Linked DNA regions of Oryzias latipes. The protein of the gene in region 1 purifies or fractionates together with the protein of each later gene. This does not show direct contact. Links are inferred from orthologs where the notes say so. Each region holds a gene or a part of one and is shown on either strand. Other genes may lie near its edges.

Region 1 (2,975 bases):
TGTGTGACTTTCTCAGAAATGTGTGGAGTACTGGCCGGAGGACGCCGTCACCCATGAGGGCATTGGGATCCGCGTTGTCTCGGTAACCCAGGAAGATGACTACAGTCTCAGGGTGTTTACTTTGAAGGTTTGTGTTCAAACAGCAAAGACAAACTTGGGACGGGAGGAACGTGAGTTTCACTGTTTCTGATAACCAGAAATGAAGAGAAAATCGAAACAAATGTGTTTTTGACAGCAGTAAGAAAAGACAAGGGGCTGTGTGTATTAGCACAAAGGTCAAAGGGTAGAAATCACAAATAAAACAGATTTGATGTGTTGTGGAGTTCAAGGAAATTTGTTTTTCTGCTTACTTTTGTGTAAAAACAAAAAAAACTTAGGGAAAATCTATCCATCCTTTAATTCATCCACCCATCCATTCATCCATCCTTTTATCCATTCCTTCATCCATCCCTTCATCCCTTCATCCATCCATCCATTCATTCATCCATCCATCCATCCATTCCTTTCATCCATCCATTCATGTATCTATTCATCCATCCATTCATCCATCTATTCATCCATCCAGCCACCCACCCATCCATGCATCCACCTATCCATTCATTCATCCATCCTTTTATCCATTCGTTCATCCATCCATCCATCCATTCCTTTCTTCCATCCCTTCATCCCTTCATCCATCCATCCATTCATCCATCTATTCATCCATCCATCCACCCATCCATCCATCCATCCATCCATCCATCCATCCATCCATCCAGCCATCCATCCATGCATCCACCTATCCATTCATTCATCCATCAATCATCCATCTGTCCATCCGTCCATCCATTCCTTTCTTCCATCCCTTCATCCCTTCATCCATCCATCCATTCATCCATCCATCCATTCATCCATCTATTCATCCATCCATCCATCCATCCATCCATCCATCCACCCATCCATCCATCCATTCATCCATCCATCCATCCATCCATCCATCCATCCATCCATCCATCCATCCATCCATCCATGCATCCACCTATCCATTCCTTTCTTCCATCCCTTCATCCCTTCATCCATCCATCCATTCCTTTCATCCATCCATCCTTCCATCCATTTTCATCCCTTCCTCCAAAGCTAGCAGCAGTCTAAGTAAGTTACTTCCTCCAGCTCCTCTGGGGAATCCCGAGGCGTTCCCAGCTGAGAGTCGTGGTTTCTCCGGTGTGTCCTGGGTGTCCCCGTGTCTCTGCCTGGTGGGACATGCTAAAGCTCATTTCATTTTGTTTGCTTTTTTTTAGTGTGTTGCTTTACTCTTTGTGAAGAACTAACGGCCCTCTTTGATTCATTTGAGGTTGTCTACTTGAATTTTAAAAAATGATTTTTGCTCTTAGAGGACATGGACATATTTGGCAAAACTGCAATAGAAACACTTTTTTCTAACTAAATGAGTCGTGTGGCCAACAGCTCTGCACATCTGATCTCTTAACATCCTGTGTCTTCCATGCATTGAACTGAGACACACACAGACAGAAATGTGAATATATCTGCTTTTTTGACATTTTGTAGAATTTGGGTAAAGTTTTGCACATTTGCGTCATGCAAACACAGCTATTGACATTGAACTGGAGACGGCTCACATGGACTGGATCTGTGTGGGATCCTCGTTTAGATGTGCTCCGAGCTGAAAGCTTGTTGTTTGTTTATCTGTAGTACTGATAATTACAGGCAGCCCCTCAGGGAATTGTGGGAACTGATAGATTTGTACACGGCTCTGAAAAGGAAAGAATACGCTGAAAGCTTTTTTTTTATCTGTATTAACTGTTGTCATGGTAATGTGAAGCCCATTGTGACAACTGTGGTGTAATACTGGGCTACATCAGTGAGCCGTGTGGTTCAACATAGAGAATGACTCGTCTTCACTCACAGTACCTTTGTCTGTCTGCGGGTCAGTGTGGGGAGGAGCAGCGCCGTCTGAAGCAGTACTGGTACACCTCCTGGCCTGACCAGAAGACCCCAGACAAAGCCCCACCCCTTCTGGAGCTGGTACAGGAAGTGGAACGAGCCAGAGAGGAAGCCCCGCCCTCCAGTGGCCCAATCATTGTCCACTGCAGGTAAATGCGTTTAAGTCTGAAGCCTTTTCCATGAACGTCAGTGTCACAGAAAGAATGAAGCGGCTGACGGAGAGACGCTCAGAGAAAATCTCATTTCTGCAGACTCTGCAGCCAAAAATAAAAAAGACAAGAAAGAAAAGGTGTTGAGCATCAACATCCCACCGTTTGGCCACCCTATTAAAAATATTCTAGACACGGTCCTGATTCTGGCCTCCACTCTTGGCTTTTTCAGTGCTGGGATTGGTCGAACAGGCTGCTTCATCGCCACCTCCATCCTGTGCAAACAGCTGAGGACTGAGGGCGTGGTCGACATCCTGAGGACCACCTGCCAGCTCCGTCTGGACAGGTGAAATCCTTATTGCTCATTTTTGTTCATAAATGACTACATTTCACATTTCAAACTGCTATTCTCTTTTTAGAAAATAATTTATTTGAATAAGCCAGTAAAGTTCAGAACATGCTATAACCCTTGTGCTATCCTATGGGGTCCAGATGACCCCCCCCACCCTTCCATTGACGTGTTCTCCCTACCATGACAAAGGTGGATAAAGGTGGAAAGATTTCATGTAATCCATAGACACCAGTGAAGATCACAAATCATTGAAGAAAAAAGGTTCAGAGCACTGTCTAGTGGGTCTAGATGACCCACCTCCCAACGTTAAAGTGCCTGGATAGCAAAAGGGTTAATGTAAAACATCTGTATAATTTCTTTTCATATTAGATCACACCTCTGAACAGAACCGGCTTTTCTAAACTCTAAAACATGAGCCACACCTAAAAACCTCTTGTCTGATGTCATGTATCTGTGCTTCCTCTGCAAATCTTTCGAAACCAATTGAAATGTTTGGACAAACGTTGAAGAAGCTGAATTGTCTGACACATGAT
Region 2 (4,401 bases), on another chromosome or scaffold:
ACCCCGAACCTAAAAAAATGTCTGAAGTGAGAAATGCATTTCATCTTCAAGTCACAAGTGCGAAGATTGAGGTCAAATCACAAAATTATTTTAGATTTCTCATCAATTCTAATTTTTGATGGGAAATTATTAACATGTTGTTTCATATACTGTCTACTAGTTTCGTTACAGTGATATAACGTTGCCCTAAAGAACAGAAATTTTGACATTTTAAAATTGTGCTTTTATTTTTTGAGGTGAACTGGGCCCCACTTCCGCCCTCCCGAATGCACTACTGTGAATTTGATGTGCAGACAGTTAATTATTGATGTCTTAATAAACTTAAACTTTTGAGTATTTTCACTTGTGCCAGGTTAATATCTACACATGGACTCCTATAACTACCAATTTTTTTTCTATTCAAGGAGTACATTAAAGAAAAGGTCGTATTACCAATATCTATAGGATTATTGCAAAATAACTCATTACAAAACCTCAAACAAAACCTGTTAACACTTTAAAAAATGTCATTGAAAACTTTTAGAGTTTTAGGAATAGGATTTTATTTGACAACGTTTCAAACTACTTCTAAGCCTCTTATCAAAGTTGTTCACTAAGTCTGTATTTGTCTCCATCTAGTGATAAGACAAGGGACAAGACAGAGGATCGATTTATTCCATAATTGTACTAAAGTAAAGTACGTATAATACAGTGTAAAAAAGGGGAGGGGGTGGAATTAGTAGCGACAACAGGGTATTAACAGAGGTCACGAGAAAACAAAAAAATGTGCAGAGGCAATGACTAGTTTGGTCTTTCACAATCAATTTACTCATGTGAACTCTTGATCATCAGTTAAAAATAGAAAACACACACAAGAATGCAACATATTTAAACTAAAGTAAAAGGTCAGATACTCATTTTATTGACGTTTGCTCAAAGCTTTTAAACAATTACATGTTCTTCTCCCTTTTACTCAAATATTTAGTCATGTTTCCTAAATGGCAGACTTGATGTCTTATCTGTAAAGTGTCCTCAGCATTACACTTCTGTTAAAAAATGTTTTTTTCCCTAGCATGGGAAGCAGAAAGTCAAAAAGGTATTATAAGGAAAATCTTAAAACAAGTAAAAAATGAGGGCTTGGTTTAAAAAAAAAAGGCATGTGTCTTTTAAACTGAAATGTTTAGTTGTTTGCACAATGTAAACTTTTATCCTCAATAAAGACATTTACGTATGGTTTAATAAAGTATTAATGTTTCTGAATTAATATGGTTTACAATTTTAAACACATGGTAGAGCTGTATTTCGGCTTACTTGTATAAATGCGCCTGTCAAAAAATAACCCACTAATAAACTACAGTTCCCACAAAAAGCTTCTTTTCTGATGCACATGCGCAGTTTTTTGGTCTACCTTGGACAGCTGTAGGAGAAAATGGCAGCGTTCATGCTAGGACAGCAGGTACGACATTCGAAACTAAACGCATATTTTAAAGCTTTTTACTCGCTAAACTCAAGGCTTTATTGGGAATTAAGCGTTTGGTAACATTTATTTTTAGTTTAGTTGACTAAAAGATAGCACTAAATGTTGAAAAAGAAAGCAGTCGATCCGTTGCTCTTGAATGACTGCTAACCTGTTAGCCTAGCTAGCTTCGTTTGTCGTGCGACGAATGCGGATTTTGTGCATCAACGTTTACTTTATTTTGCGTTTTGAATGAAGCTATTATTTTTGTTTGTTTGTTTGTTTGTAGGCTCGCCAGCTCAGCACATCTGTGATCAGACCTGTTGCAAAGCTGGTTAGGGTAAGTGCCGACACTCCTCCTTGGTGTTTTACCAATCATTCGTGAATAGTTCGGGTTCTTCATTTGACCTGGTTAATGTATATTCTCTTTCAGCCTCCCATCCAGATCTATGGAGTGGAGGGCCGCTATGCCACTGCTTTGTTCTCTGCCGCCAGCAAGCAGAACAAACTGGACCAAGTTGAACAGGAGTTGGGGAAAGTGTCTGTGAGTTCAGACAAATATTTGTAATGACAAATGTCTGGATCTGATGTATTTTTTTGTAGTGCCTCAAGACAGCATTGTTTGTGAATTGGTGGCTCTCAAAAAACTGATTTGTGTTTAAGATTTACTTTAAGATTGAATGGATTTAAATGTGATGTGCATTTTTAAAATGTCTAATTTGTCAAAATATCAACGTTTGGCGTGTCTAATTTTTTTTTTCAGGTCCTGATCAAGGACCCCAAGACGGCTGGTATTGTATTGAACCCACATGTCAAGCGCAGCATCAAACAGAAAGTCTTCAGTGATTCTCTTGCAAAGGCTAAGCTCTCCCCTTTAACTGTCAATCTCATCAGTAAGTATTCATTGAGGATGAATGGATTGTTTCTTATTTTTTCATTAAGACAATAATAAAACAAAGACATATCAACCAGCCTAAATTGCAGGAATGTTGCATAATGCCATGGTGAAACTTTGTATTTTAATGATTAAAATCTCACCGTATTGGATACAAGCAATAGATGTAGAAGTATAAAGGACCAGTTATTGGAAACATTTCCTCTCACTAAATATGTTAAGTTTATGTGAGTTTTTGCTGTTGTAAAGTTTGGAAAAAAATATTTAAGAAACCATATGATATATTTTTGCTTAGACAAATATTCAGACTCAATTTTCTTTGTGAAATAAGAACATTTGTGTTGTTTGTATGCTCTGCATCCTGTTTTGTGTTACTGCTATTGTAAAAGTGCCCAATTCCAAGTCTCAAGGGGCTTTTCTAGGCCCTTTTTTCTCTCTACGTTTTCCTACTTGGTATTAGCTAAACATTTAGAATCCAGACTGTTGGCTCTAGTTAAAGCTAGGGTAACAAAATGAGACTTAGGACACTGTCTTTTAAAGACTGGGGTTGATATGGCATATTGACTGTAGACATTTAGCTAAATATTAAATGGTCAAATTAGAGACAGGTTTACTAGAGTGTCACTTTATTTTGCAAATTAGACAGAAAGTTGTTTACGACAAAAAACTGAAGCCGAGTAGTTTCACAACTTTTGGTGTTAAACTATTACTTGAAAATTAAAGTTTGGATTAACTTGGATTTCAATGATTATTTGAGTTTAACTACAGCTTCATTTATGCAGTTATAAAGTTTTAAACCAACATCTGGGTTTAAAAATTGCTAAAATTACCTGATCAGGACTTTAAAGACAACACATATTAGGATATGTCAACAAATTTTCTAAAGCTCTTCTAGACTTCATATCACTTTTGTTATTATGTCATTACTTATAGATGTTGTCATTTTGGTCCATGACCCTGTAGAGCAGGGGTGGGCAAACTACGGCCCACATGATGGATTTGTTCCGCCTCCATGATTGGTCCTGCCCACTGAACAATATCAGAGACCCATGTTTTTTTTTTTTTTTATCTGGCCACATGATCAAGACCCGCATAGAACGTGACATTTTATTCCCCCCCCCTCTGTGCTCCAACCTGAAACCCTCTAAAATCCCTGTCAAACAGAACAGAAGACAGTCCTTTCTGCGGCGCAGTTCACCTTTCCCGGATCAGCTCATTCTTTTAGTTAGATGGTAGATGACTATATTAATCCCACTATGGGGAAGTTCCTTTATCTGGCAGCAAAACGACATTCAGAAATGATCTATATAATTTAACATAAAAAAATCAGATCTTTGTTTTCATTCTAAGATCCTGGCCCTAATTTCTATGAAGGTTTGAGAATTTAAACAGTGAAGTGTGAAAATGTTCATGTCTGTCGGATAAAAGTGTGTTTAGGCAGTGAGTTTTACTGCCATAAAACTTCTGTAAATAATCAGACTCTGTGGATTTCACCGATCACAGGTGGTTTTTTAGAACTCAACTCCAGCAATAAACAAGGAAACTCTGTACTGGTGAAAAGGTAACGCAGATATATGCGTAGCTGCAGCAGAAGACATAGAAATTTGCGTTTTTCATTATTACTGGATGAGAAACAGACGCGCCGTGACGCAGCGCAGCTGCTCAGTTTTAGCGCAAACTGTGAGACGTTTGAGGAGCTGCAGCCCTCAAAGTCTCAGCGGGCGAAGATGGGAGAGGATCCACTATTTGTTTTTTCTTTTTAATAAATCTGTATATTTTTTCCCGACTTTTTGTCTTTGAAAATCAGTTATTTGGTCATTTTTGATTTCATAAATAGTGTTATTTATTTTATTGAAAGGATAATGAATCAGTAAAACTATATTATGGGGCTTTAAAATAAAATAAAAATAAAAGAAGTTTAAAGTTTTAAAAGACTCATTGTGGCCCTCACAAGAAAAGGTTTGTGGACTCTGCTCTAGCATCCATGTGGTGTTTGAAGATTTGTTGTTTTTCATTCTTCCAATCATTCAAACACCACAAGAACGCACCATTTCTCTAAGTTTTACACGAG

Evidence for each region.
Region 2: the proteins of tyrosine-protein phosphatase non-receptor type 5 (region 1) and atp5po purify together in Homo sapiens (affinity purification with mass spectrometry; 3 studies listed by BioGRID and IntAct, with this or other methods). This does not show direct contact. The link is inferred for Oryzias latipes from reciprocal best matches to the Homo sapiens genes PTPN5 and ATP5PO.

What each region holds. Positions count from the first base shown.
Region 1 is NC_019864.2:31,277,964-31,280,938, reverse strand, and holds part of tyrosine-protein phosphatase non-receptor type 5, read left to right. Parts: intron 1-16; coding exon 17-127; intron 128-1,929; coding exon 1,930-2,090; intron 2,091-2,322; coding exon 2,323-2,436; intron 2,437-2,975. UniProt on the Homo sapiens protein: May regulate the activity of several effector molecules involved in synaptic plasticity and neuronal cell survival, including MAPKs, Src family kinases and NMDA receptors.
Region 2 is NC_019868.2:17,462,034-17,466,434, reverse strand, and holds the start of atp5po (ATP synthase subunit O, mitochondrial), read left to right. Parts: upstream 1-1,351; 5' UTR 1,352-1,408; coding exon 1,409-1,435; intron 1,436-1,724; coding exon 1,725-1,775; intron 1,776-1,868; coding exon 1,869-1,979; intron 1,980-2,198; coding exon 2,199-2,328; intron 2,329-4,401. UniProt on the Homo sapiens protein: Subunit OSCP, of the mitochondrial membrane ATP synthase complex (F(1)F(0) ATP synthase or Complex V) that produces ATP from ADP in the presence of a proton gradient across the membrane which is generated by electron transport complexes of the respiratory chain.